4 linked regions of the Tamandua tetradactyla genome follow. Each later gene encodes a partner of the first gene's protein in a complex. Links are inferred from orthologs where the notes say so. Each region holds a gene or a part of one and is shown in the gene's direction. Other genes may lie near its edges.

What was found.
Region 2: the proteins of NCBP1 (region 1) and NCBP3 are in contact, whole or in part, in a cryo-EM structure (PDB 8BY6), measured with the Homo sapiens proteins. The link is inferred for Tamandua tetradactyla from reciprocal best matches to the Homo sapiens genes NCBP1 and NCBP3. Residues at the interface, in NP_002477.1 of Homo sapiens: Lys330, Ile377, Glu378, Cys380, Lys381, Pro384, Pro388, Gln389, Ala392, His420, Asn423, Phe424, Gln425, Arg427, Trp428, Ser429, Glu431, Asp432; in NP_001107590.1 of Homo sapiens: Glu572, Asp574, Glu576, Leu577, Gln578, Ala580, Trp581, Gly582, Leu584, Ile585, Lys588, Glu589, Arg592.
Region 3: the proteins of NCBP1 (region 1) and SRRT are in contact, whole or in part, in a cryo-EM structure (PDB 8PMP), measured with the Homo sapiens proteins. The link is inferred for Tamandua tetradactyla from reciprocal best matches to the Homo sapiens genes NCBP1 and SRRT. Residues at the interface, in NP_002477.1 of Homo sapiens: Tyr461, Gln463, Lys511, Lys557, Ser558, Ser560, His561, Ser564, Ala567, Lys568, His570, Lys607, Ile609, Arg610, Thr611, Gln612, Met648, His651, Glu705; in NP_056992.4 of Homo sapiens: Asp857, Pro858, Arg859, Val862, Glu863, Tyr864, Arg865, Asp866, Leu867, Asp868, Ala869, Asp872, Asp874, Phe875, Phe876.
Region 4: the proteins of NCBP1 (region 1) and NCBP2 are in contact, whole or in part, in a crystal structure (PDB 5OOB), measured with the Homo sapiens proteins. The link is inferred for Tamandua tetradactyla from reciprocal best matches to the Homo sapiens genes NCBP1 and NCBP2. Residues at the interface, in NP_002477.1 of Homo sapiens: Glu32, Cys36, Leu71, Thr74, Val75, Arg77, Leu78, Leu79, Ser324, His325, Trp326, Lys327, Glu328, Arg329, Lys330, Ile368, Val370, Met371, Thr374, Glu378, Asn415, His419, Ser422, Asn423, Gln425, Lys455, Arg458, Leu459, Ser460, Tyr461; in NP_031388.2 of Homo sapiens: Gly4, Leu5, Leu6, Lys7, Leu9, Arg10, Ser11, Asp12, Ser13, Tyr14, Glu53, Glu54, Gln55, Tyr57, Glu58, Leu59, Lys62, Ser63, Asp65, Lys67, Ile69, Tyr89, Asn96, Arg99, Tyr100, Asn102, Gly103, Thr104, Arg105, Leu106.

What each region holds. Positions count from the first base shown.
Region 1 is NC_135328.1:14,734,345-14,741,488, forward strand, and holds the start of NCBP1 (nuclear cap-binding protein subunit 1), read left to right. Parts: upstream 1-4,126; 5' UTR 4,127-4,550; coding exon 4,551-4,584; intron 4,585-7,144. UniProt on the Homo sapiens protein: Component of the cap-binding complex (CBC), which binds cotranscriptionally to the 5'-cap of pre-mRNAs and is involved in various processes such as pre-mRNA splicing, translation regulation, nonsense-mediated mRNA decay, RNA-mediated gene silencing (RNAi) by microRNAs (miRNAs) and mRNA export.
Region 2 is NC_135332.1:57,853,452-57,860,389, reverse strand, and holds the start of NCBP3 (nuclear cap-binding protein subunit 3), read left to right. Parts: upstream 1-3,920; 5' UTR 3,921-3,941; coding exon 3,942-4,124; intron 4,125-5,925; coding exon 5,926-5,991; intron 5,992-6,938. UniProt on the Homo sapiens protein: Associates with NCBP1/CBP80 to form an alternative cap-binding complex (CBC) which plays a key role in mRNA export. NCBP3 serves as adapter protein linking the capped RNAs (m7GpppG-capped RNA) to NCBP1/CBP80.
Region 3 is NC_135349.1:8,881,888-8,889,267, forward strand, and holds the start of SRRT (serrate RNA effector molecule homolog), read left to right. Parts: upstream 1-4,368; 5' UTR 4,369-4,429; coding exon 4,430-4,555; intron 4,556-4,681; coding exon 4,682-4,821; intron 4,822-7,380. Other genes in the region: TRIP6 (thyroid receptor-interacting protein 6), read left to right, coding at 200-327, 445-570, 833-1,210, 1,513-1,606, 1,713-1,882, 2,343-2,521, 2,772-2,892, 3,011-3,142. UniProt on the Homo sapiens protein: Acts as a mediator between the cap-binding complex (CBC) and the primary microRNAs (miRNAs) processing machinery during cell proliferation.
Region 4 is NC_135336.1:16,605,903-16,612,736, forward strand, and holds the start of NCBP2 (nuclear cap-binding protein subunit 2), read left to right. Parts: upstream 1-3,821; 5' UTR 3,822-3,895; coding exon 3,896-3,973; intron 3,974-6,834. Other genes in the region: protein NCBP2AS2, read right to left, coding at 3,368-3,667. UniProt on the Homo sapiens protein: Component of the cap-binding complex (CBC), which binds co-transcriptionally to the 5' cap of pre-mRNAs and is involved in various processes such as pre-mRNA splicing, translation regulation, nonsense-mediated mRNA decay, RNA-mediated gene silencing (RNAi) by microRNAs (miRNAs) and mRNA export.

The sequences.
Region 1 (7,144 bases):
CTTCAGGCACTGGTTTCTTTTCCAACCTGCTTCATAAAGGACCTGCTGCTTAACCTGGCCTCTCCACCATCCCACTCAGATGCCATGTTCACTCCAGCTTTGATTCCTTACACCTTTTTGTTCCTTTACACTCACTTCTCTCCTCTCTCCCTATCCAAATGCTAAACACCTTTAACAAGATTTAGCTCACATGTCACTTCTTTCACACATTCGTCTCCATCAGCCAGTGCCCCATCTCTTAGTCATCTCAGGCCAGGCACTCTGCTTTGGCCACCTGGACCTCACCTAGTCCCACACAGAAGCCATGCTTTGCACATGCCTTTCCCACCACTCCTTAAGGGCTGCCCCTGCCCCCTCTTGCTCTAAATCCTCGTTCAGCTCTTGCTTTAGTCTAATTATAGCTATACTTTTAACTATTACTTGCAGAGGCACGATTGTGTGCCTGACATAAGAACAGTGCTGAAGAGGCAGCTCTGACTGGAACAGTCCATGCCCCTGTGCCCCTGGAACTTCTATTCTAGTAAAGAGAGAGAAACATCAAATAAGGAAACAAATAAGCAAACATGTAAAAACCACATGCTTCTGCTGGATCCTCCTCATGGTCCCAACCTCTACGTGCTGAACTGCTCTATTCACACTCACTCCCTGGGTGAATTAATCTAGTCTGAAAGCTTTAAACTCTATTTGCTTTAAAATGATGCAGGTCGGGGGCTGGGTGGGAACATAGGTGAAACCGGCTTGGCCTTAATGAGCTGATGATTATTGAAGCTTGATAATGAGCACATAAAGGTTCATTGTGTAAGTTTTCTACTTTTGTAAATACCTAAAATTTTCAATAAAGAAAGAAAAAAGGGGAAACAACTATAAAGGAACCAAAAATTGTTTAGAACACTATACAGTAAATTACTCTAAATTTCTATCTCCAACTAGGACTTCTCCCTTGAATTCCAAATTCATGTAGCTGACTCTTCTCCTGGATAGCTTCAACTGGATGTCTAATAGCCTTTTCAGACACAACTGTTCAGAACCAAACTCTTATTAAGGTACTCTCCCTGGAACCAAACCTATTCTTCTCTGGTATTCCTTGCCTCAGTAAAACTAAATATATAAATCATTCTTCCTGTTCCTTAGGTGTGCTTTCTTAAAAGTGTTGTATACCCCAGAAAAGCAATGTCCTTTAACACAGATTCAATATTGTAGGGCAGAAACTCTTTTGATTAGATTATCTCCATGGAGGTGTGGGGTGGCCAACTGTGGGTGTGGCCTTTAGGTTAGATGGAAATATGGCTCCACCCATTTTGGGTGGGTCTTGATTAGTTCACTGGAGTCCTTTAAAAGAGGAAACATTTTTGAGAAAGCATAGAACTGATGTAGATGCTTGGAGAATAGTTGCTTCAGAGCTGACAGAACCAAAAGACCCAGACATTTGCAGATACAGGGCCCAGCAGACATCACCATGTGCCTTCCCATGAGATGCTAAGCAAGCCAGAACCCAGAATTGTGTCCCAGAGGAGCTAAGTGAAGGCCCACAAAAACCAAGTGAGGAACTCCCAAAGGAACAGGCTGAAAGCAATAGAGCCCAGGAGCAAGGGACCAGCAGATGCCAGCCACGTGCCTTCCCAGCTGACAGAGGTGTTCCAGATGGCATCAACATTTCTTGAATAAAAGTAACCTCTTGTTGGCGCTTTAATTTGGACTTTTTCACAGTCTCAGAACTGTAAACACATAATAACTTCCCTTTTTAAAAGCCATTGCATTTCTGGTATAATCCATTCTGGCAGCTTTAACAAACTAATACATCAGGCAACAACTTTGGCATATTTCCTGAGCTCTGCTCTGGAAATACAAGCAGGTCAAACAACTTCTCACCATCTTTACTTCCACCCCAGCTCAAGCCACCACCAGGTCTTGCCTGAATCACTGCAATAGCCTGACTGCCTTTCTTATGTAGGAGCCAAAGTATATTTTTTAATAATACACAGACTTATTTTTTAATAATGTCAGATCACCCCCCCAAAGACTTCTCAACTTTCTCAGATAAAAATCCAAAGTCCTTACCATGCTCTCACTACCTTTCTGATCCATACTTCTCTTTGCTCTCTTCTCTGATTGCACTGATCCCTTTGCCCATTCCTGAACAGGGCATGACAATATCAGATTTTTCCTTTGTTCACTGCTGCATCCTCAAGAATTAGAACAGTACCTAGCACATAACTAGTGCTAAATAATAAATACAGTATTTGTTGAATGAATGTCTGAGTGAAATAAAATAGCTATGAATGACCTAGTGGCAGGGCCAGCTAATTTAATTAGGTATCTAGGGAAGACCTAAGGACCTGATGTTTCAGCTGAGCCCTAAATGACAAGGAGCCAGCCAAGCAAAGATCTGGGATCAGAAACATTCAGGTATGCTCCTTGTATCTACAGTATGGACAGATGAGTAAAAAATATGGTAAGATATATACAAATAATAGGGGGAACAAAAGTTAAAATAAATTGAATAGAATGAAATACTAGTGGTCAGTGAGAGGGAGGGGAAGGGGTACAGCATGTATGAGTTTTTCTTTTTTATTTCTTTTGCTGGAGAGATGCAAATGTTCAAAAAAATGATCATGGTGATGAACACACGAAAGATGATACTGTGAGCCAATGATTGTAACCATGTCAAGAATGTTTGTATGTTTGCTTGTTGTTTACAATAAAAATAAAAGAAACATTCAGGCAAGGGAAAGAGGGAATATAAACTCCTACAGAGAGAACAAGCTTGATTTACTGGAGGAACAAGAAGACAAAGTGGATGGAGCAGTGATGAGCAGGTAGAACAGGAAGGCCACAGTACAGAGTCCTCCACAGAAGTCATTGTGGGTTTTAGACAAACGATCACCACCGTCTGATTCTCATCTTAAGAACCTTCTGGCTGCTGTGTAGAATTTTAAGAAAGCAAGGAATCAAGTAGGCCAATCAAGTTACTACACTTATTAGGGTGAGAGAGGACACTTGCTCGGATTAAAAAGCCAGCAGTAGTGAGGAGTGCACCAATTCTGGATCTCCTTTGGAAGTAGAACCAGTGGGGTTTATGGATAATTGCTATGCAGGAAGTGAAGGAAAGAGGGCTCAAGAATGACTCCTACCTAGATGTTTGGATTGGGCAACAAGATGGACGGTGCCATTTACTGAAATGGGTAGGGAGAGTGAAATTTCAAATGACCAAGGAGAGACAGATAAACAGGTGGGGGCTCACCAAGGCCGGAGGTGTTCATATATAAGTATATGCTGCGAAATGAGATTTTTAAAAGCCGACTGCCTTGGGAGTTACCGGTAGCGATCACCTTGCCGAAAAATGACACGGATTCAAGTACAGGTCTCTGAGGAAATAGCACTCCCGATAAAGTTGCAATTTTTGCGACACCTGATGATAAGCTGATCTCGGACCAGTAAGGACAGCCTATTAAAAATGGACAAATACATTATACTAACCAATGGCTATCTGTTCTCTGCTTTGTAAGACCCTATGTAATGAAAAACTTAGCCGTCAACCAATCTTAACTTTCCATTTGAAATTCCCTAATCGTTTCTATAAGTCGCTGTGGCCTGCTCTCATTGGAGACTCACTCCTCCAGTTTGAGATCTCTCTGCTCCAGCAGTTTCTTTAAAAAAAATCTGCAAGTTCTGAATATAATGGTGACTTAGTTTCTCTTGACAACCCACAAGTACTGAAAACGAATTACTAAAACGGCCAACAAGCTCCTTCTAACGCGCGGAGGCGAAACGTACAACAACCGAGGTGCTCCGAGCAGGCGGGCCTCCCCTATCACAGTGGGCGGCACGTGGGGCCCGCCTTCCGCCCGGGCAACCCCGCGTAGCCTGACCCAACCTCTCCGCACAGCTTCCCGCGTAGGCGAAAACCGGGAAGCGGTAGTACGTCGAGCACATACCCGCCAGTCCGGAGCCTTGCCGAGGTATGGGCTCACTGAACAGTCTCCGCTTAGCAATTGTCGCTGCTCACGGCCTTCAAGCCTTACAGCCCCAGCCGCGAGTTGACGTAGGGAAAAACGCTCACGACGTAACTTGGCCACGGAAATCTCAGTGGCCGTTAGCGCAAGGGCCGCCGGGAAAACCACCGAGAGGATCCAGGGCTGGGGAAAGAGCGTCCCGCCCAGACCTCCGCCTCCCGTCCATTCCTGCCCCGCCCCAGGCCGCTCGCAGCCGGCGAGCTGTACCTGAATGAAGCAGCTGCGCTTTCTGCGTGGCCCCGGAAGGACAGAGAGCGAAAGGCAGGAGAAGAAAGCAGCCGCGAGGCGAAGGAAAGTCGAGCAGAAGAGGGGGCTGTTGCGTGCCGTGCAGACACCTGCGGCCCTCCTGCAGCCGAGTCTGCTAGCCCACCCGGCCGACCTTCATCCTTGCGCTTCCGGGAGCCGTCGCCAGCGAGTGCGCCTGCGCGCCGGCGGATCCGCGCGCCTGCCTGCTGTGGTCGCGCCGGCTGAGTGTCCGACGGTTCCTACCGCACCTCCTGCCCGGCGTCTCGCCTCGGAAGCGCACCGACGTGCGGCATGTCGCGACGGCGGCACAGCGACGAAAACGACGGTGAGTGCCCTCGACCCGGCCCTGGCTGCCGCGCCCTAGCTTCGGCTTCCTTGGCCTTCGGGTCTCGAGGGAAGGAATGGAGAGCCCTTCTCCCCTGGTAGAGTTCGTACAGCCGCGGAGCCTAGGAGGCTGGCAGAGCGGGGGTGTGGCCAGGTGGGTTCCAGAAAGCGACTGCTGCCCGCAGCCCTCGCGCCTTTAGCCCGTGATTAGAGCCCGTGATTAGAGACCTCCTGGTCTCTAAAGACGCTTCAGGGGTTGGTCCTGGCTCTGCCGAGCAGGAAGTAGACCCGTGTCTGTGTCCTTACCTCTTAGATGGGCAGTGGCAGGGACACAGTGTCTCATTTTAACCTTCTAAGTTGGCCTTCAAAGTAACCTGAAAAGGCCTCTAAGGGAAACTTAATTGAAGAAAAGAAACAAAGCACTGACTCAAAGAGCTGATGAATTGCAGCCTACTCTGCTCCTGTACCTACCATCATCCATTGATTCAACTTTGTTCAAACTTTCAGAAAAGGAATCTTGTGTCTTCTCTCCGCTCAAGAGGTCACTAGTAAACAGACCCATGCTGTTTTATTAGGTTGTGAACTGGCCTTAGGCGTTTTCCATCATGTAATTAAGAGTGCTGGAAAACTAACTGGAGATCTTTTTGAAATTTAGATCAGGGGTTCCATTTCCATTGGGTGCTGTGCTCACAGAGATACTAAGAACTAAGACTTTTTCTAGTAAAAAAAGTAGAAAAAGATACTCACATTTCACATAAGCATTACAAAAATCAGTCATGAACACAGATCCAGTCAAAAAAACACCTGTGCTTAAATCTGTTTTAATATTTTAGTGAATCATTTATTAAATTGTAGAGTAATGGGTAAGAGACCAAACTTTGGAATCAGAGAGCTGATGGTTTCAAAGCTAGACCCCATTATTTATTTTGTGGTCTTATCCAGGTTATCTAATTTCTTTAAACTGTAATCTATAAAGTAAAAATAATGATAATCTGTTTTGGGTTTTGTGAGGGTTGAGTAATGCTTGACAGTGATGTTTATTTTATAGTCTGTTTAATGCTGAAGAGGTCATAAATAGTGGCACGTGCCAACAATGTAAGAAAAATGCAAAACAAAAATTTTAACTTTTTGATAATCTTAATTTTAATGATAATTCTCCATTATTGTTTTCTCTCCTTGAATGTTGAGCATTTGTGGATGAGGACAGACTCACTTGTACCTAGTTTTAGCAGTGAAACACCAGATTTCTGCTAGGGCATGGCTTGAGAGGTTATTCACAATCCATCTGACACCACAGGGTGCAGAGACTGAGTGTAATGAACTAACATGGAGACAAAGTAATCAGTGCCCAGACACCAGAGAAGACAAGCCCAGAACTCTTCACTACACAGGCACTGCTGTGTGGTATACTTTAACAAGTGACTGCTAACGTGTACGTACAGAGCATGGAAAATACAGTCTTTGTGTATTATGGATTTGACTAATCAAAAACTAATATGTTTGAAGTCATCTCTTGGGATTTAGAGAACTTGAGTCTATTGTTCTTCTCATGTTCCTTGCTCTTCTTGTGCTTTCTTTTCTCCACTCTTTCTTCTCTCTCTCCTTTCTAGGGCATCCAGAAAGGGAGGGGGGATGGTCCCAGAAGGCAACCCAGAGGAATGGAATGCAAATATTTAGAAAAATAACTTGTTTCTGATTATTGGAAAGCTTTCATAACTTTCTGTGGGATTTTGAACGTCAGCTGGCAGCATGGCAGCAATGATGTAGCTCATCATTGTCCATGTGGGTCTTGCTGCTGGAGTATCAGTACGCAAGTAAAGACAAAGAGAAGTAGAATAAGAAATTGATGAAGCGAAGTCCACAATGGTGGATGCTTTAGTAATAGAGGGACAGTTTATAGTTCTTTGAAATATATGAAATCTAGAACTTTTGTAAATTGCCGCACTATAGGTAGTGGTCAGTTGGAGTTTACCCTAAAATGGATCTGAATCAGAATGTTTCCCTTTTAGTTAAACTTCTACTTATTTTTTAAAATAACATGAAAGCTTAAATATTATAGGAGGCTATTTTAAAATCAGAATTAATACCGTTAGGATTAAATGGATACTTCAAGCCCTTCTGCATTATTGTTCTCGCTTATGTCAGCAATTGCCCTGACTTTCCGTATACTTGGATGCAGTCATTTACTTGACCAATATGTAATAGTGTCAGCCACTGTCCAGAATAATTGTCAAATAATTGGCAGTACTGCAAGAGACAATTTAAAGATGGAGTCTCCATTCTAGTATAGAGAGATAGGCAGAAAGCAATCAATCAAGTAAAATGCAGTGTATTGTATGGTGGTCAGTGCTGTGGAGAAAAATAAAATCAGTAAATGGGCTAGAGACAGGACCGAAGGAGAGGAGTTAATATTTTATGTAGCTGTTCAGGGAAGGCCATCTGATACTAGCATCTGATTGTGAGCCTGCAGGAGGTAGGCAGGAAAATTACATGGATTCTGGGGAAGAGCAGTGGTTCAGGCAGAGGGAACCTAAGTGTAAAGGCTCAAGGCCAGACCATTC
Region 2 (6,938 bases), on another chromosome or scaffold:
CGTGTCTTCCCACCATAGCTCCACTCCAGTAAAACTGTGGACCCGACATAAAAGGAAGGACTCCTGGGAAATCAGAGCCGAGATGCACCTCCAGATGTGCCCACATAAGGGAGCCAAACCCAGCTCCACGGGTGCCCAGCAAAGGCTTGGGGGAAAGTGTGGGGTGTGACCTGGAAGGTCCTGGTTTCTCTCAGCGTCTCTGGGCTCTGGGTCCCATGGGCCCTTTGGGATCTCTGTTCTCGGCCACTTTCCCCACCTCCCACCTCCATCATCGTATGTGGTCTCAGCCTAGGGGAGGCGGGGGGTGGTCCAGGCCACTGAGGGTTCCAGCTTTCCCAGGCGATACCCAGACACAGAGTGGGACACATACAAACACCCTCAGATCCTGGAGTCACCCCCACCACACCCAGGTGGGCACACGTGCAGGAGCTCCTCCCCGGGGTAGACACAAGCAGGCCTGTCTGCAGGGCTGCCCTCTGCGGGCGGGTGGTACTGGGCCCTGTGGGTCCGCCGGAGCCTGGGAAGACACCAAGGGGGTCTCACCTGGGGAGCAGAGCCCTGGTGTGTGCGGATTCCTCCACCGCTCCAGCTTCCAGCAGGACCAGACCTCTGAGGCCCCCAGGCCACTCCGTTCCAGGCTTAAAAGCCACCCCCCCTCCACTCTCCAGTCTCCCACCAACAGCAGCCCCTGCTCACACTGAAGAGGCGCCAGGATGAGTCCTAAGGGACTGTTACTTTGGGGGAGGAGGAAGAACCCCTCAACAGCGCCAGAGCTGGAGCGGCTTGAGGAAAGAGGAAAACCAGGTCATTGTGTGTGTGGTTTTAAGAACCAGGGAATGGCCACCAGTGACCGTGGTGCCCAGTGGCCCACGGAGGTGAGGGAAATGTGGAAAGTGAGCGAAGACAGTCATTTCAAGAGTTTGTGGCAGGGATGGGGGGCACGGATACAGCTCAGCCCCCAGGGTTAGCTGCTTCCCCATCTTTATCTGCCATCCTGCACGTGTTCCCAGGATCTTAGATGTGAACTGGAGGGTGGGAGGTGGGATTGTGTGTTGCAGGTTGAAAACCGCATTGTAGACCATCTCTGCCTTCGTGGGCAGTGAAACCCACTTCCAGTCTTCATACGGCATCCATTGTCACCTTTGGAGCTTATATTACCTTTTAATGGCTTCTCCCTTTCTTACCTCAGGAATGGCAGGGTTCAGTTGATTTTATTTCCTTCCTCTCTGGATGGGGAGAGAGAGAGTGGTCAATTTCATTTTTTTTTAAAAAGTAATCTTTCTGAAGGCCCAGCTGATACCCTTCCCCTTCCCCCAACTTTATAACAACTTTGTGCCTCATTCATCAAGCAAAATTAGGTCTCTGAAGGGCTTCATCCTGTGTTTACCCTACGGCTTAGCCCAAATTTGAGAAGCACCCCTTCTATGGATCTATATCTACATGCAATTACCACATTTAATCCTCACACTCTCCATTGGAGGTAGATAATACTGTCCCCTTTTGCCAAGGAAGGAACTGAGTCTCCAAGGTCACACGTGGGCAAGCCTCCCCTTCACAAACTTCTCAGAAAAGTTGTCTGTTTTTCTCGCCTGCCTTCCCCTTCATGGGCATTGTCCGCTCCTGGTAACCTGTGGACAACAGACCACTGGACTCAAGCCAAGTTCCGTTGTGAACTTGAGGTGGCCTTGACATTGATGGCTCTGGTTTTTTTTGAACCCTCTCTCCAGTCTACCCCAATGTCCCACTCTCCTGGTTTCTTCTGCTTATAAAAATCATCCAAACTTTGGAATAGGAAAAAGGATTTCTGGATGTCCTCTCATTGTAGTGCTGAGTGTTTTCTGACATGCCTATTCCATGTGGGGATTATCTGATTTTCCAGGGATGAGTCCCTTCTTTGACTTCCTATTTGCTGTGATTAGGGCATTTTTACAACTCCCTAAGGGTAGAGGTTAATTTATAGAAAATTCATAGCAAGTGATGTAAATGTTTCCGTCTGGTAAAAAAAGGAACCTAGTAGGGCATTAATCTGTCTTGTTAAATTCACTTTGGCATTCTTTTGACCAGCTCCATAAATATCCAGTGCTCAAATTCTCTTTCGAGCTAGTCTTAATATCTCACTAGTGAGCTGAATACAAGCTTTGACATACGTTCATTTTATATTTGTATGAGAGTCATATTTTTAACTTTTTGAAAATTATTCTTTACCACCTCCTAATTCTCCACGGCCACACCTCAGCAGGCTGCACTGAGAGCAGGAGGGATGGGGGTGGGGTGGGGGAGTGGATGTTGTGGTTAGGTGACCAAAAAGGGAAAGGCACAAAGACCTTTCCCGAGGGGCGCTTTAGGAGCCCTGCTGTTTGATTGCCTGATGCCCGGGTTTGTCCTGGATTCTTGATTTACTTGCCTACTAGAGCTCCCCCTGGGGGCCAAACTGCACTGTGCCAGTGCCAGATTCCTCACTGAATTGAATTCTCAAGCAGCCAGGCTTTTCCAGCAGGGAGAGGGACCAGCCCCGCCTTCTCTGCTGGCCTCCTGGTGTCCATAGCTGAAGAGAGATTGTCCCTCCTCTTCTCGCCCCCAGCAGCCTAGAATGCAAATGTAAAGGTGGCCCCATAACTGTCAAACAATGCTGATCACCCCAAGCACAAATTTTCTTTGAACTGTTCTTTAAAATTCACACAAATTTTGCATTCTATCCATTTCATGCCTTTAGATTCAACCCAACTTTCTAACGACTTTGTGTCTCATTCAACAAGCAAAATTAGGTCTCTGAGAAGCTCCATTCTATGTTTGTCCCATGGCTTAGCCCAAAGTTAAGAAAGACCAAATTTAAGAAGCACCCCTTCTGTTGGATCTGTATCTATGTATAATTATCACATTTAATCCTCACAATCTCTGTTGGAGGTGGATAATACTGTCCCCTTTTACCCAGGAAGGAACTGGGTTTCCAAAGGATTGAGTGGCTTGCCCAAGGTCACACATGGTGTGAGGGGCAGAGCCAGTCAGCCCCAACCCAGCTGTGACTGGTGCTGATCACAAGTGCCCTTGATTTAGAATTATTTGTTCCTCCAAGATCAGAGAGGGAAGGGCCCGGAGACCCTAGGGTGCTCACTTACTCTCTCCTCAGATGGGAAAACATGCCCAGAAACTGGCTGGAACCTTCCCAAGCAAGGAAGTTGCAAAGCCGGTATCCAAAGCAAAAAATCAGTGGCGCTGACTGGAAGCCTAGAGAATACCCCCTCCTGCAACCCGGCTCTTTTTAGAAATGTGTGCACGGAAACTACGCTCAGAGGTGTGCAGTAAGTACATCAAGCCCTCAGGAGTCAGGCAATTGAGGTTCAAGCTCTGGCCTTTGGCTAGGCCACTACCTTCATGGAGTCTTAACTTTTGTGTATGTAAAACGGGCTAATTTCGGGGAGACTTGAAAGAGACAAAGGTGGGCAAGGCATATATGGATTGCACAGTGGGGATGGAACAAATGTCATTTTAGGCTCTGCAGCCACACTACCTAGGCCCCGATCCAGGTTTTACCCTCTAATAACCTGTCAGGAAATGGCTATTTTCTATGCCTCGGTTTCCTCACATGTGAAATGGGGATAATAATAGGACCTACTTTGTAGGGTTGTTGTAAAGATTCAAGCGCTTAGAACAATGTCAGGCACAAAGTGACCACTCAGTAAAGTTAGCTTTTAAAAAATCCCAGACTACGAGTCTTCAGGCCCCGCCCCCTCAGCAGGTCCTGCTCCCTCCTCACCAGGTCCCGCCCCAGCCTGCCCCAGGTTCCTCCCACCACCAGGTAGCGACCGCGCTGAGGGCCGGCCTCTGGACGAAGCAAGTGACACTCTAGGTAGCGGCGGTGGCTCCTCTGTGGCCGGTGGTGGCGGCGCTCTAGCCGGCGGTTGTGCTGGGCGGGTGCTCAGTGGTGCGGCCGGCGGGCGGCGATGGCGGCCGTACGGGGCCTGCGAGTGTCGGTGAAGGCTGAGGCCCCGGTGGCGCCGGCTCTGGGGCTGCCGTCGCCTGAGGCCGAGCCCGATTTGGAGCGTGGAGAGCCGGAGCCCATGGAGGTGGAGGAGGGCGAACTGGAGATCGTGCCGGTGCGGCGCTCGCTGAAGGAACTGATCCCGGTACCGGCGGGGGGCGGGGGTCGAGGGGGAGGTCGCAGAGGGAATGGTGGCGCCCGAGGGGGCCGGAAGGGGAGGCGGCCGGCTCCCGGGCGGAGAGAAGCCGAGGGAGGGGAAGCGAGGAGAGCGAGCGCCGGGGGGGAGGGGCAGGGGCGCCAGGTTTGAGGGGAGTGGGGGCGCTAGAGAAAGGACTCCAGTGCGGCCGGAAATGGGTGTTGGGGGGCTGGAGGAGGTGGGACAGAGCTAGGGAGTTGTTGTGGACACCCCCTTAGCTACCTCTCCGAGCCAACGAGTAGGAGCTGGAATTGTCTGTGGGAGCTTCAGATTAATGGGGACCCCGGGGCGAGAACAGAACCTGGAGCGGCCCAGAAGGGACTTTTGGGTGGCACCGACATTCAGGTCTCCCCGTGGGTCCTGGCTCTGGTGTAGTTAAAAATGGCACTCTGTCTCTCTCTTGGGAGGGTTGGATTTGTCAGCAGCAGAGACTCACTGTGTTTTCTATTGTGACTTGAGGGTCATTTTGCCTCAGGGCAGTTCCACTGCTGTGTAGAACCCACACCGCAGCCCCAGCATCTGATCCTTAATGAAACTGAAGTATCGGGACCATTAGTGCTCTTTGGATCCTTTTTATCTCATGGGGATAGTGAGAAAGGTGTTTTGCTTGTGGTTTGGTAGTTATATGCCCGGTTCTTACTGCTGGTCTTAGCTCTGGGTGGCTCTTACCCAGTACTTGATTTCTAAGCTAACAGGAGCTACTTTTAATCACATTTCAGCAAGTCTTGCTTTTAAACTGAAGTTATGGAAAAAAGTCAAGATGGAATCACTAGAGATAAACACTAGGGCTTATAGGGTAACTACAATTAACATAATAGCATTTTGCTTTTCACTACATTGTATCGTTTAAATTTCCCTGTAGTTGTGAAGTAGGTTTTAGCATCCCTTCAGTCATTCAATTCACCTGTGTATTTATTGCATTCTCAACTATGTGCTAGGCACTGTCCTAGGTGCCTGGTCAAGATCAAACTCCCTCCTGATTGGGGAATACACATAATAAACAAGTAAACAAATAATTTCTGATAATGGTAGGTGCTGTGAAGAAAATAAATCATGATAGGGTGGTGCAGCTGTGGCTCAGTGGCAGAATTCTCGCCTGCTATGCTGGAGACCTGGGTTCGATTCCCAGAGCCTGCCCATACCAAAAAAAGAAAAAAAATAAAAGGAAATAAATCATGATAATGGGATAGAGAGTGCAGGGGTTGAGGGTGGGGTGTGGAAAGTGGGAAGTAGAATATGATAAGATGGTCAGGGAAGCACTCTGAGATAGTGACAATAAACTGTACTGTAAATGAACCAGCCATGTACAGATTTGGAAGGGAGCATTTCTGGGCAAGGAATGAGGGGCATCAAGTGCAAAGGTTTTGAGATGGGAACAAGGTTGCTTTGTTGGAGAAATGGAAACTTCTGTGGTACAAATGGGAGAGTAGAAACACCTTAGGAAGATAGGCAGATACCATGGAGGAAATCGAGGCCCAGACAGGTCAAAAGAATGATACAATGTCAGTGTCAGTTGATGGAGTTACTTAAAGTTTTGGATAAGCTCTGATCTAGAAAGAACGCTTTAGAGTGGTTGATTACTAACCTTGATGTCACAGGGACAGGCTTCCTCATAAGGGGATGTCTGGGGTTGGGGAGGGGTTGCTGGAAAGAATGACTATCTGAAAGGAATCTGTTGTTTGGCATTCTTTTATCATGGGTATTTTTCTCAGTTGCTGTCAGCGTTTCTTACCCTTCTCTTTTGTATTAGGACACAAGTAGAAGATACGAAAACAAGGCTGGCAGCTTCATCACCGGAATCGATGTTACCTCTAAGGTAAGACAGAACATGATTTATTTATTCAGTTTGATAAGTGAGTGTACTTGAACTTGATTCTTAGGACATGCAGAGCAGTAATTATTCTTTACCTCATTTTTTGTGTGTTATTGGATTAATTTTTTTTAAATTTGTGTTACACACCGTGGCCCTTTTACAGCCTGCACACCTCCAGCGTTATTTGTGTTATCATACCCACAAAAAGATAAAACCACTATAGCTAGATGCTTGTGCATAACCATTTCGAAGAAAAAGTTCTGCACTGGGAATGCTTTTTTATGCCATGTTCTTTCTTTAAGAATGTATTCTGTTTCCATTTTAAATAAAACAAAACATGAAAAGTGTCTGCCTTTGTTGTCGACCCTTAGTAAATGTCTTTATTCATCACTGGCTGCAGGCTTAGAAAGATGGGCTTCATGATTGTGTGACTGTCTAACCTTAGATTCTGAGGGTATTCTCAAAATAACTATAAGTATTGCCTTTTATTGGTGTTTGCTGTAAACTAAATTACCAGCAGCTCAGAGAGACAAACCTGTTATTTTCCTTATCATAAACGGTAGATACCTATTTGTTGCTTTGATCAGTCGTATTCAGCTTAGCCATTTTTTCTGTTTTGATGTGTGCAATTGAGGTAGGAACAGAATCAGAATAGCATTCTGAATAATAGTACTGTATTGCTATACGCTATGCATAAAAGCAAAAATAAAAATTAAATATGTCATGCTTATCTACTTATATTTCATCCCAGTCTCAATCAGTCTCGGATTGCTTAAAGGCCAAAAAAAGAGCAAGCAGAAAGTAGAATAAAGTGAAAATGTTTTCTCATTGTCATGGAAAAAGAAGACTGTACTGTTTTTAATTCTGTACAGTTTGTCATTGTATGGGAAAAGATTGGTAGCTCGAGTTGGTGCTTAAGTCTACCAAAGGAAGGTAGATTAGTTGTTTTT
Region 3 (7,380 bases), on another chromosome or scaffold:
ACGGGACCACCGCGGCCCAGCGCCCTCCCTCCCGCCGGCGCCTGCTTCCTGCCGCCCCCTCCCCCAGGCCGGGCTGGGGCTGGCGGCCAGGGTCCCCCTCTCTCCCCGCCCTGCAGCCCTCCCTGCCAACTCGGACCCCAGGTGTACTCCTCCTCCCCTCCCTCATCCCCACCTTTGGTCTCTCTTCCCCTCATCCCAGCCCTCCAGCCCCACCCCAGGGTCAATTTTTGCCCCCTCCCATCTGAGCAGTGTTACCAGGCCCCCGCGGTACCGGAGGATCCGGGGCCAGCCTGGGTGGGGTCCTATGGAGCGCCCCAGCGCTCACAGGTGAGAACTGGGATTGGGGGGCAGGGTGCGTGGGGCCCTCGGAGCTGAGTGTGAGCCGGACCCAAGATGGGAGAGGAGATGTGATTTGCATTCTCTCTGCTTTTATTCCATCCCCAGGGACTCCCCCCAGATAGGGGGGGCTTACGCCCAGGAAGTCTGGACGCTGAGATAGATTCTCTGACCTGCATGCTGGCTGAACTGGATGGGGGTCGTGGTCATGTCTTACGGCGACCAGACCAACAGGTGAACCCCTGTCCGGCCCCCTCCTGCCCCCAGCCTGCCCATCCTCCCCAACCTGTCCCTTTCCCTCGGTTCTCAATCCAAATCCAGTCCCCTTCCCCTTCCTACCCCATACACACCCATATTGAAAAGCGTGGGAACGGGAGCTCTTACTAATTGTCTGTGACTCAAGGGCAGGGCCGCCTCAAACACGTGGAAACACATGGTTCCATGAACACATGGTCTGGAATGGGCCTTGGTCATTGTGGTCTGTGTTTCCCCCCAGGCTTATGAGTCCCCTCAGCCCCCTGCCTACCGCTCCAGTTCCCTGAAGCCGAACAGAGGGGGTGTTCCAGCCCTGCAGCTCCCAGCATCCTCCTATGGGGGTCCCACTCCGGCCTCCTACGCCACTGCCAGCACCCCAGCTGGCCCGGCCTTCCCTGTGCAAGTGAAGGTGGCTCAGCCAGTGAGGGGCTGTGGGCCACCGAGGCGGGGGGCCTCTCAGGCCGCTGGGCCTCTCCCTGGCCCCCACATTCCTCTCCTAGGCCGAGGGGAAGTCTGGGGGGCTGGCTATCGAAGCCACCGGGAGCCAGGGGGTAAAGAGGAGGCTGCTGGGGTTTCTGGTTCAGTCGGAGGAGGAAGAGGAGGCGGATATGGGGCCCAGGTAAGCCTGAGGCACTGGGATTTTGCGTCCTCATGGACAACTAGATGCTGATGGTACGGGGTACAGGGTGGAGTTTAGTGTCCTGGTTTTAAATCAGAGTCTGAGGGCCCGGGCCTCAGAGCTCTGGATCCCTGAGGGATGTGGGCAGCCTGGGAAACAGGAGGGAGAGGGCTGCCATTGGCTCTGTGAAGCACTCCTGTACCTAGGGCTGAACTGTTCTCAGATGGGTTTTCTGGGTTGACCTGTCACTGTCAGGAGTAGTTGCCAGAGGTAGGACTGAAACCCCGATTCTTGCCTCCCAGGTCCCCCTGAGCCAGCCTCCGGAGGAGGAGCTGGAGAGGCTGACCAAGAAGTTGGTGCACGACATGAACCACCCACCCAGCGGGGAGTACTTTGGTGAGCAGGGTGGTGGGAAGGGGCAGGGGGTACTAGAGAGTCAGAGGGACGGTGGGCCTGTCTTCCTGGGTCTGTGCAGGCTGACCTGTTTCTTCTCTGACCCTAGGCCGGTGTGGGGGCTGTGGAGAAGATGTGGTCGGGGATGGGGCCGGGGTGGTGGCCCTCGACCGAGTCTTCCACGTGGGCTGCTTTGTCTGTTCCACATGTCGGGCCCAGCTCCGGGGCCAGCATTTCTATGCTGTGGAGAGGAGGGCATATTGTGAGAGCTGCTACGTGGTGAGTGGCTGGGAGGCTGGCATTGGCAGCAGGAGGCAGGGGGCTTCTCTCTAATGCAAGAACTAGCTGTCCAAGCCTAAAAAAGGAACAGGTTCAAAGCTGGGAGAATTGAGACTGAGACAGGAGAAGAAAGGAAGAGTTAGGTAATAGCTAAAGATCTGGGCTGCTGGTGGGGAAGGACAACATTCCTTTCAAGAGCAAGGCAGATGAATTAAGGAGCTGCCTTAAATTCCCACCATGCCCCTGCCAGGCAGGTATTCCTATTGCTTCCCATTTATATAGCTCAGAGACATGAAATGACTTGTCCAGTAACCTGCAGTGCTGAGACTTGAACTCAGGTCCTTTGCAATGATTGTTCACTGAATCACTGGCAGTGGGCTAGATAAATAGATGGTGGGCTGACAGAATGACTGGAGAGCTGCCACGGGGCCCCCTGACCATCCTGCTCTCTTCCCCACAGGCCACCCTGGAGAAGTGCTCCACGTGTTCCCAGCCTATCCTGGACCGGATCCTGCGGGCCATGGGGAAGGCCTACCACCCTGGTTGTTTCACCTGTGTGGTGTGCCACCGTGGCCTTGATGGCATCCCCTTCACTGTGGATGCCACCAGCCAGATCCACTGTATTGAAGACTTCCATAGGTCAGGCCCTGCCCTGCCCTTTCTCTCAGGATGCCCGGCTCTTCCCATCTCCCTCACCTCTGCTGTTTGCCCAGCACCAGTCCTGTTTCTAATCCCTGGCCCTGTTCTTTGGCCTCACTCTTTTCCCTAAGACCCCTGTCCATATCTCTGGCTTCTCCCATTCCCTCCTATATCCCACTTTCTCTGGCTCCATTGGTAGGACCCTCCATCCCTGGGGCTTAACAGCCTCTTTGGTTCCCTTCCATCCTAGGAAGTTTGCCCCACGGTGCTCAGTGTGTGGCGGGGCCATCATGCCTGAGCCAGGTCAGGAGGAGACTGTGCGGATCGTGGCTCTGGATCGCAGTTTTCACATTGGCTGTTACAAGTGTGAGGTCAGAGGGCCTGGGCAAGGGGGAAAAGGGGTTTGCAGAGTCTGGGGTGCTGGGGATGGCAGAGTGATCCATGATAGGGCCAGGAGCTGACAGAAAACTGTGGCTTCTTTCCTAACAGGAGTGCGGATTGCTGCTCTCCTCTGAGGGTGAGTGTCAGGGCTGCTACCCGCTGGATGGGCACATCCTGTGCAAGGCCTGCAGTGCCTGGCGCATCCAGGAACTCTCAGCCACCGTCACCACAGACTGCTGAGTCTTCCCAGAAGCATTAGCTGCGCTCTCAGCTCCCATCAGCCACCCTCCTGACATCTGCCTTTACATCTGTGTCACCAAATGCTGTCCCCTCTTCTGATCATGAAATAATAATCCCTCAAGAGTTTACAGAACACTTTCAAGTCTACTGTCTCATCTGATTGTCACAGCAGCCCCTAACCCAAACACACACAATGGTTATTTTTACATATGAGAACACCAGAGCTGAGAAGCCACTTCCCCAGATTGCAGTGGTTCCCAAATGGCAGAATCAAGATTTGAACCTGGGTCTTCTTAGCTCTCCCTGGTCCATATATATATGTTTTTGCAACTCGACTACAGTCTTTAGCGTAGCTTGGTGTACAGACATCTCTCCGTGCCGGGAGCAAAGGTGCAGCAAGCTCCAAGGAGCTTTTAAGCTTGCATGTAAGCCCGGGGCAGGCAAGATTCTGCCTGTTGGTTGAGTATTGGTTGGGGATAAAGATGGCATTGGCCAATTTTGTTTAAAGATGGGGCGCCTTTGTCGAGAAGCAGGACCACTGGGTTTTGAAGACAGCACACGCTGTGATGCCAATCACGGCTGCTCTCTGGTGGGAGCACAAAATGGTGGGAGGGGGCGATTTAAAATGGTTGCTCTTTTCCCCTCAACAACCCCTCACGCCCCAAGCCCTTGACCTGCCGAAGGAGAGGGTCGAAACCATCCTTAGGTCAGAAGAAACCCCAAGCGAAGAGTCAAGCGCGATGGCTGGATACGAACTGACTTAGGGCCCGGACACAGCTGGCAGAGCGTGACACTACGCGACAGTGGAGGACAACTCCGCTTCACGCCCAGGGGTGCCACTACCTTCGCGAGGATAGTCTTGATCCTGCCCGGCTTCCGTAGTTTCTCTCGCGTGTGCAGTTCTCGTACGGGAGCGCGCGCGAGATTTCCTCACCCCTTCCCATCATCCTTTAGTTCTTTGAGTTCTCGTTCGGCGCGCGCGGGGAGGATTCCGCTGTTCCGGGCGTCGGTCCGCGGGTGACGCAGGCGCGGTGAGAGCAGTTCGCGCCCGCCGACAGTCCATCTCTGGCAGGCCCGCTCCCTCCTTGTTTATTGGCCCCTTCCACCTAGGGCCCCGCATCTACCTCTCTCCTGCCTTGTCGTGCCAGGGCGCGGGCCAGAGTCTCCCGGAGAACAGGCCTGCACGAGTGGGAGGCCAACCGCCGCGACCGCTTCCAGGTGGGGGAGGGGTGGGAGCCGGGGTCTCCGGCTGGCCCTTGAGAAGCTGGGGGACCTGAGCCGGGGCCGATGGGGAGCGCGCTGGAGGCCATTGTCAAGTCGGGGCCGACGGGTCTGGGGCAGGAGCAGGGAGACCCTTGGGGGCGAGTGGAAGTGTCGCGGCCGTCCACCTGCCAGAGAAGAGCAGTTAGGATGGTGGGGACAGTGGCCGGCCGGCCGGCTTTTGCGGGAGGGAGGTGGGCGTGCACCTCCTGAGGGACGATCCCTTCGACTTCCTGTCATTGTTCGTTGCCGCCCTGACCCTCTCTCCCCGGGCTCCAGGCCCCTTCAGACTGCGCTATGGGTGACAGCGATGACGAATATGATCGAAGGCGCAGGGACAAGTTTAGAAGAGAGCGCAGCGACTATGACCGTTCCCGGGAAAGAGATGAAAGACGTCGAGGGGACGATTGGAATGACCGGTGAGACACCTTCCATTCCTTCCTGACTCATTCTGTTGTATTCAATCCTCGTTGCTTTTCTCTTAACATGATTTTATTAGAGTGAACCATATGAAACCGCCGGCATTTGGCCATTTATTGCACAGAAAGGGCAATTTCATATGGTGCAGGCTACTTGCTGTTGATCATAGAACTGTTATGTATGGCTTGATAATAGGAAGGCTGTGAAGATCAAAGCAGTGAAACTAAGAGGTTGAGTTTGAAAAGATAATATTTATGCCTGCACTTAAAGTGTATGCATTTTAATTTTTTTGTTGTTTGTTTTACATGGGCAGGCACCGGGAAACAAACCCGGGTCCTCTGGCATGGCAGGCAAGTATTCTTGCCTGCCGAGCCACCGTGGCCTGCCCAGTGTATGCATTTTATTGTTGGAATATACTTCTAAGAGTTTGCTTCACAAAATTACTATTATTGAATTGACTTCACTGGACTGTTTGAAAGACCAATTCCTTGGCTGGATGTGATTAATTTTTTTGAAATTGTTCCCCCCAAAATCTCTGTATGAGTTATTTTGGCAGTACCAGTTGAATTTATTGATTAGATTCCAGTCAGCAAGTGATTAGTTTACTAGAGTGTTTGTGAGCTATTTAGGTGTCTCCCTTAAGAAACTTCTTAAAGGATTTCAAATAAAGTAATGAGGAGGAAATATGGAAGGACTTTTTATTTGAGGGGCTTCACAAACACTTAAAACAGTGGTTTAGTTTGGAAATCTATTGGTATAAAGAGTTTGAGATGACTTATTGTAATAGCATTCATTCATCTGATATTAAACTTTGTTATTGTTTTGTCAGAAACCTCCAAATGAGTTCTTTGAGTGGTGCTAGTTGAGTTCATTGATTACCTTTGAGTCTGCAAGCTATTAGTTTACTGGAGTGTTTTTGAGTTAAAGTGTTTAAAGGAATAGTTCTAAGGGAGGAAGGAGTTGTGGAGGTGTGTCAAGGAGAGCTCCTGGAAAATGACACTTAGCTAGACTTGGATCAGTGAGTGGGAATTCCCCAGGCACAGGTGGAGTGGGCAGCTTGGAGTTGTGGGTGTAGGTTGTGTGAAGAAGATATCTCATGTTTAGAGTAGCGGTTCTCAGTATTTGTTCCAGTGAGCTTTAGAGGTCTTGGAAAACCCTTTGAGAGAGGGGGCCTGTGAGGTGAAAGCTATTTTCCGAGTAATAATAAAATATTACCACTTTCACTATATTGACACTGGCACTGATGGTGCTGTAGCACTGCTGAGGATAAAGCGTGCAGGCATGCAGGCACCTTAGCACAAATGAGGCAGTGGCACCATTTTCACTTACGAATGTGCTTGATGAAACTATGAAAATTAAGTTGATTAAATCAGATTCTTGAGTATGCCTTTAAAATACCTGCAATGAAATGGGAAAGTGTATAAACCATAGCCGTAGTTCTCTTGAGGAAGTGCACTTGTGTGACTGACTGACTTGTGAGCTGAACTGGCTGCTTTTTATCATGGGACGCCATTTTTACTTGAATGAATGTGAAGCGTGGTTTTTTAGGTTGGGTAATGAAAAGGAACTAAGAACTTGTTCAAGGAAAACAATTCGTTGCCAATGATGAAGTGGAACTTTCAAGTGAAAATTAAAATTTCGGTCCACTTGTATTCATCACTGTGAGCTTAACAGATCCCCAATACTTAAATAATAAAATAGGTGGTAATTTTAATGAATTTGATACTGTGTAATGAAATGTGTAAGAAGTAAGATAAAACAGTGGATTTTAATATTGCATAGTACAAAATGTTCATTGATAACATTGCAGATCCCACATTGCAGTTAACCTTTAGGAAACTGCTACTTGTTGAGTTGGGATCAAAGAAGAATATCCACAGTTTTCTGAAGAGGCATTTAAATTAAATTTCTTCCTTTTCCAACTAAAACAAAGAGGCTGAATTTTCTAAATACGTTGCAACCAAAGCAACATGTCACAATAGATTGAATGTAGAAGCAAATGTGAGAATCCAGTGGTCTTCTCTTAAGCCATACCTTTAAAGATTTGCAAAAATATAAAGCAGTGGCACTTTTCTAGTAAATCTGTTTTGAAAAATAGTCATTTTCCACAAAAATACATAATTTATAGTATTTGTAACTTAAAAATTAATAGGTATTGTTTGGGCAACTTGAGCCATGCATGTAAGGGGTGGTAGCACAGAGTGCTGTGCTTGCATGGCAGTTGTCCTGGGAGAATGTTTGAGAGCCGAGCTTTGGGGTGGCCACCTGGGCTTGTAGCTTTGAGGGTCAGGATGGATGAGTATGTACTGACCTCTGTTAAGAGTCTCATCATGGTGAGAGTGGGGTGGGTATGTCCAGCTTGTTCTTGACGTTCACAGAGGAGACTTTAAGGTGAAAACAATTTCAGTGATGGAAATGAGGCTCAGCTTGTAATATGGGATACTGCTGGTCAAAAGAAGAACGTTAACTCCCAGCTGTTACGGAGGTGCACAGGACATTACATTAGTTTCTGATGTCACAAGACGAGACACCTTTGTTAACCTGGGTCATTGGTTACA
Region 4 (6,834 bases), on another chromosome or scaffold:
GATATTTCCCTCCTTGGAATTTTATTATACCCATCATGACACTTCATTGTTCTCGTGCTTTGCTTTTCTGATTTGTCTTCATACCTCTATTGCTTATCATCCCATCTGGCATTGATGACCACTTGTCTATTTTGCAGCCAAAGATGGCTTTCTGCCCTATGGCTATTAAATCACGTGTCACCTTGAAGACACTCCAGATCCTGGGACTCCAAACTGTCCTCTGGGATTCTTGGCACTTTTGCCTGTCCCTTCCCCTGCAATTGGGTTCACACCCTCAGAATTCCCTGGAGGAATTGTTCTTGTGGCAGTCCATGTAGATTGTATATCTGTCTGTAAAGTGTTGGTATTTCTCCAGCATCAAGTGATGAGTCTTAATTGGTCTGTGGTATAGTGGGTGAGCTGCTTCCCTCCATCTTTCGTCAGGACTTAGAAGAGCTTGGAAAGGGATGCTGGGAAGAATTTGGTCTGTTTCTTCATCAATAAGGTAATGGTGGAATGACAGGCTACTGACTATAAACATGGGAGGCTGCCCCTCCAATGAAGCTAGATGGGAATGAAATCACCTCTTGCTAGAGCAGAAAAGATGGACCCAGTTTTCTCTATCTGAAAAAAAAATAGAAGGAAATTAGTTCTTATACAAGTTCTTCCAGGGAAAATAAAGAACTGCCCCCTTTTCTTTCCTTTCTTACCAAATAGCCAATCTGCATCTGGAAGCTTCATTACTTCCTTACTGCTTCTCCTTTTGTGCGCTTGTTTATATTGGGGGTAAGGGGTTGGGCTGGGGACTGCTAATAGTCTGCTGTTCTGATATCCAGAGACCAAAGAGATAGAGGCAGCAGGCAGGGCAAGTTTCTCAGGCTCCCCACTGCCAGGGGGCGTCACCTCTAGTCCTGAAGAGGGAGCTTTGATAGCAACTTTGATAGGAGGAGGTCAAACCAGGACTTTGGTCATTAGGAGAGTGGGGCGTCTGGCATCAGAGAGGATGTAATAGCCCTTCTGATAGAAAGGCAGGAGGGTGGGATGCCAAATCAGAATACGCCATTGGGAAAGTGGAGAACAAGAGTAGATAGAACAATTCTATTTGTAACTGAAAAGATATATTCCTTTCAAGTATGGATGGAGCAGGACCTAGAATACCTTCTTTGACCTTCTCAGGTCAAAGCAAACAGGGCCAATTTAGACACAATTTTAACCTTCTCCTCTCCTGCTTTTGACTGTAAACTCTTCAGTCACCATTATCCTCCAAAAAGCCAATACCCTAAGGATCCTTCGGGCATATCCACTTTAAGTGACTTACTGGGTGGAGAGTTGTTCTCCTTTTTTTCTGGTGTATTTTCAATTTATGCTTCATTTTTTCAGTGGGACGTTTACTAGTTTAGTTAATGCTCTTTTGATTGTAACTAACCTGAAAAAGGAAAATCTGTTATAAGGATACTGTGTTATATCCTAAAATCTAGAGTCACACAACTAAGACTTGATAAGGGCAGAATCAGGATCCCTTGGCAGTAGGTAATTCAGGGCTTTCTTTTTAGTTAGTCACTAACATGGCTACCAATAATTCGTTGTCTTGAATATGAATTCCTAGGAGTCTGCATCTGATTGCAAACCTCAAACCAATCCCCTATCGCCAGAGAAGAGAAAATTGTTGAAAATACACCTTGTAGGCAAGCCAGGATATGCTCAGCCAGCCACTCCGGTAGGTATCCAGGGCAGAATGGAAAGCTTTGTCACTTGTGAAAGCTTTCAGGTTTCAAACACATCTGGCAGTATTATTTGAAGAGCATCTTTTTATGCCTCTCAAAGTAATCACTGGGTCTATTCCCAGAGAGGACCTGATACAGGTTTAGGAGGGGATCTGTAAGAGGAGGATCAACTGATGGTGTCAGTGGTGGCAGCCCATGACTCATCTTCTTAATAATGGAGATAATGAAGGTGGCAAGAAGGATCCTACTCTTAGAAAGAGCTGCTAAAATGATACTGATACAGAAACCTATAAAAGTAAAAAGCAGGACTGTCTGCATGAAAGCAATACTAATTACAATACATAGCTGGATAGCCTTTATATCCAAAAACCGTGTAGCACCAGGACTGGAACCTCTACTTCATTTGTAAAAGACAAAGCAAGGCCAAAGCTAAGGTAGTAAAAATGGTAGCCAATGGCTATTTTGTTACATGTGAAGTAATAAATGTTTTTGTCAATACTCTAGAAATCAGATTTTTCCTACAAAACATAATTTCCAGCTTCTGAAAAACCATACGATCCAGCACTACCACAACCCCACCCAACAAAACCCAGCTGGCACTGAGAAGCCAATACCCACCCTGGATGGGTTAGAGACTCTCCACTTGGTAACACTGCCCTCCCCATTTATTGCTTGTACTCCAGGGTCATGAGTTTGAAATTCCCAGGGTAGACTCTTCATGACTGAGAGAAAAGCTTAGGTATTAAATTCTGTGTGGCCACCAGCCTAAAAGCCTTTCCTGTGCCTTCAAGCTTTCTCGATTACACGATTAATGAAGTAGCCTAATAAGTGATTACCAGAAATTCAGCTAGAAGCCCCAAAGACAGGGTACTTCTGTATACAATTGATTTCTTAATCATAGGCCCATTAGCTGGAACAGTCCTAGTCTGTATCCCTTACTCTCTAAAATGGGGGAGTAAGAACCCAGGCAGCTTGTTCCAGGGGCTGGTGCTGATGGGTATAGGCAAGCATTGAGGGTCAGGGTAAGGGCAAAGAAACTATAATTAAGGACTGAGGCCCTGGAGACAAGTGCCTGTGTTCACAAACCACTCTGTAAGATGTTTGGCAACTTACAAGTAGCCTCCATTTCCTTACATGTTCAGATGCACTTAGCAAGTTACCAACAAAGCAAGCACTCAATATGTGTTTACTATTACCACGGACCTACAGCCCCCAGGATTCCTAATCCATCCTGCCTGAGAAGTATCACACTCAGGCCCATTCATCAGCTCACACATTTAATCAGGGTATTTTGGCAGCTGCAGGGTTGTCTTTCCGTCAGTAATCTTCTTTGGAAGAGTGCCGGGCTGTACCAGTGTAGATGCAGCAGCATCTATCAAGAATTTCGGTCTCATCTGCAGAGAGCAGGATCTCTTTCAGGCTGTGGCTCTCTGTATGTCTTGTATCTGGGCCTGGCCTATCTTTACCCGTCGGGCTTCGGCGTCTTTCCCCATATTGTATCGGTCCGATCAAAGGGTTTCAACACGCTTGTCGGTTTGGTCTGGGCCTTCCCATGAGTGGGACCCTGTAGTCAGATTTCGGGGCCGTGCGCAGTGCTTCAATGTCGAGGTTGATGTAGAGCCCAGAAGGGAAAGTAGGTGATCTCGACTCGGCCAAGCCCGGGCTTAGGGTTCTGAGCCCGGGCCTCTTTGGCTACCTGGTGGTGACCCCGGGCGGTCCCGAAGGCCGCGGCGCAGTTCCTGGGTGAAGGTGTCTTTGAAGCGGGCAGCACGGCAGCCCAGGGAGTTCGCGGGCCCAGCCTTGAGGCCCCGGAGGCGGCGGACTGCGTCCTGACCGCGCAGCTGGGCCTGCAACAGTGCGAAAGCCGTGAGTTGCGCCGCACGCCGGATGGGCCGCGACTCGGACAGACGCTCCACCAGTTGCGAGCTGTTCAGCAAGGAAACCAGTAGCCGCCGAAGAACCATCCTACCCGGAGCGCCCCGGAACCCGGAGCACACAGCGCACGCTTTCTCATCGGCGACTCCCAACAAGGACCGCGTCCTGCATCGGCGCAACCTGATGACGACACTGACGCGCTTGGATTGGGCCTGGGATTTCCGCTTTCTGCATCCACCATACGCATTTCCGGTTCCGGCTCCGCCTCGGCCACCTTGTTCCCGGCGTCGCAGCGTCCTTATTCACCTCCGTGCACTATGTCTAGCGGATTTCTGAAGGCGCTGCGCAGCGACTCCTACGTGGAGTTGAGCCAATACCGGGACCAGCACTTCCGGGTAAGGGAGGCCGGGCCACGAGAGGGAGGACCCTGGGCCAGTACTCTGAGAAACGATTTGCCCTGTCTCGTTGTTGTGTCTTCCACCCTGATGCTGTCCCTCATATTGAAGTAAGGCCATAGTGCGGCCTGGGGAGACAGGAAATGGATTCGGTAGGGCGTTTGGTTATCACTGAAGCTATTTCCTCTCATAGAAAGGGAGTTCGAGGCTCGCTTTCTCAGTTCTGCATTTGCTCCTTGTACGCGGAGACGCCTTCCTGACCCAGATATCGGGGCTTTTCTTTTTTCTTAATCTAGATTACCGAAACAATGCCCTTTGGCATTTTGGGTCCTTTCCTTTGTCTAGTAGGAAGGTCTTACAGTGTTCTCAGTGGTGGGAGATAAAACTTGAACCCTGCGGCATCCCCCACCACATGGAGTTGTCCGTGTAAAGAGATGGACCAGCCTAGCTAGGCACGTTGAGGATGTCTGGGTGTCAAGATCAGAGAACTGCTGATTTGCGGGAGGGACATTTTATATTGGGCAGTGTCAGAGAAGATTTTTGTGGAAAAGGAGAGCCTGCAGTATTTATTCATGCTGGACTTTTCGTTATCAACAAAGGACATGTGTAAGGCGGTGGTAGTGGTGGGGTGGATTTACCAATCCAGTTATCTAGTAAACATTTAGCTTTTAGCTAAGCCCTAGGGGGAGGGGGGAGACAGTTACCTCACCCTAAGAGCTCTCAACCATCTAGTAGTGATTGTAAAGGTCAGCAGTTTTTAATGTTTACTGTGTGCCAGCATGATTTCCATTTCCACCACTTTTACAGTTCTCATTATTTTACAAAGTTTCACATCATAAGTATCTTGAATTTAAACCATCCTGCAAGATTAAAACTGAAAGTATTCGACTTTTGCTATTACTCATCTCTACAGTCTAAAGCCTGTTGCTTTGATTGGATAGTAGTACAGTACTGCCAGGTGGAATTTCGAGTGTTCCCTGAATGGAATACACACTAATATACCTTAAGTAAATACTTACACCACTGTTGTCTTAAGCCATAGGCCATTAGTTTGACATTACTTACATGTGAGAACAGCAGAAAAAAGGAAATGCCTCCTTACTGTAATTTTTAACATATAACAGTAATATAAAGTGATTTTACTTTTCCTAATGTTTTATTTCAAAGTTCTGAAAACCTGTTTTTAACATAGAATGATTTTTGTACGGATTTTTTATCACATAACTGTGTATTCATCACCATGATCGTTTTAGAACATTTGCATCACTCCAGAAAATGAAATAAAAAGAAAAAGCTCATACATTCCTCCTCCCTCTTATTGACCACTAGTATTTCAGTATGCCCAACTTTTTATTTTACCCTTTACCCCCCTCCATTATTTATTCATTCTTTGTCCGTATTTTTTTTACTCACCTGTCCATACCCTGGATAAATCACACAGTCACATTGTAAAAACTATATAGTTATACAATTGTTTTCAGGAATCAAGGCTACTGGAACACAGTATCTACTAGATAATGCATAAGAATAACCTTCAGGGTAACCTCTCGACTCTGAAATCTCTCAGCCGTTGAAACTTTATTTTGTCTCATTCCTCTCTTCCCCCTTTTGGTCAAGAAGGCTCTCTCAATCCTATGGTGCTGAGTGCCGGCTCATCCCAGGAGTTCTGTGGGCTTTTAAGGGTAGTATGGGATTGAGGTAAGAGTGGGTTTGAATTCCAGCTACAACTACTGAGTAGCTGTTGAACCTTGGACAAGTTACTTAATTGTGTTTTTCCTCTTATGTAAAATGAGTATGATAAATTAGGACCTTCTTCATACAGTTCTGAGAACTGAATGATTTAACATATACATAAAATCTCTGCTTCTCCCAGATTCAGACATAGTTACCAGTTTCTTGTGTGTGATACTTGTGTATATTCAGACTTAATAAGTTGGAACATACTGTTTTCATTGATTTTCTTTTTTCGCTTTGCACTTTTCACTTTTTCACTTTGCACTTCATCTTGGAAATGTTCCATATTGCATGAGGCTGTGCATTTTTCTAGGGGATACATATTTGATGTGCCATATTTATTTAACTTTTTTATTGTATAACATTTATACAAAACAAAGAAAGAAAAAAGCAATAGTTTTCAAAGCACTCTTCAAACAAGTAGTTACAGGACACATCCCAGAGTTTGTCATGAGTTGCCATACCATTATCTCAGATTTTTCATTCTAACTGCTCCAGAACATAGGAGACTAGAAGGAATAAATATTTTATCATCACAATCAACTTTTTTTGTGTGAAAAATATATATATACAAAAAAGTAATAAATTTCAAAGCACAGCATAATTAGTTGTAGAATAGATTTCAGAGTTTAGTATGGGTTACAATTCCACAGCTGCTTCAAGATACTGGAGATTAAAAAGAAATAATCAGTGATTCAGAAATCATTTGTTGTTAAACCCTACCTTCTCTGTATAACTCCACCATCACCTTTAATCTTTCTATCCCACTCATTAGGGGTATTTGGGCTATGGCTATTATAACTTTTTCATGTTGGAAGAGATTATTAATAATATAGGGTAGGGAGATGGAACTATCTGATGTTCTGGAGAGGCTGGGCCCTCTAGGTTTCAGGACTTATCTGGTCCTGCGACCCATCTGGATTGTAGTTTTCTGGAAAGTTACCCCCAGTGTGGAATCTTTGTAGAATCTTATATATTGCCCCAAGTGTTCTTTAGGATTGGTTGGAATGGTTTTGGTTGGGGTTTGGCAAGTTATGATAGGTAGCAATGTCTAATTGAAGCTTACCTAAGAGTGACCACAGAGTAGCCTCTCGACTGTATTTGAACTCTCTCAGCCACTGATACTT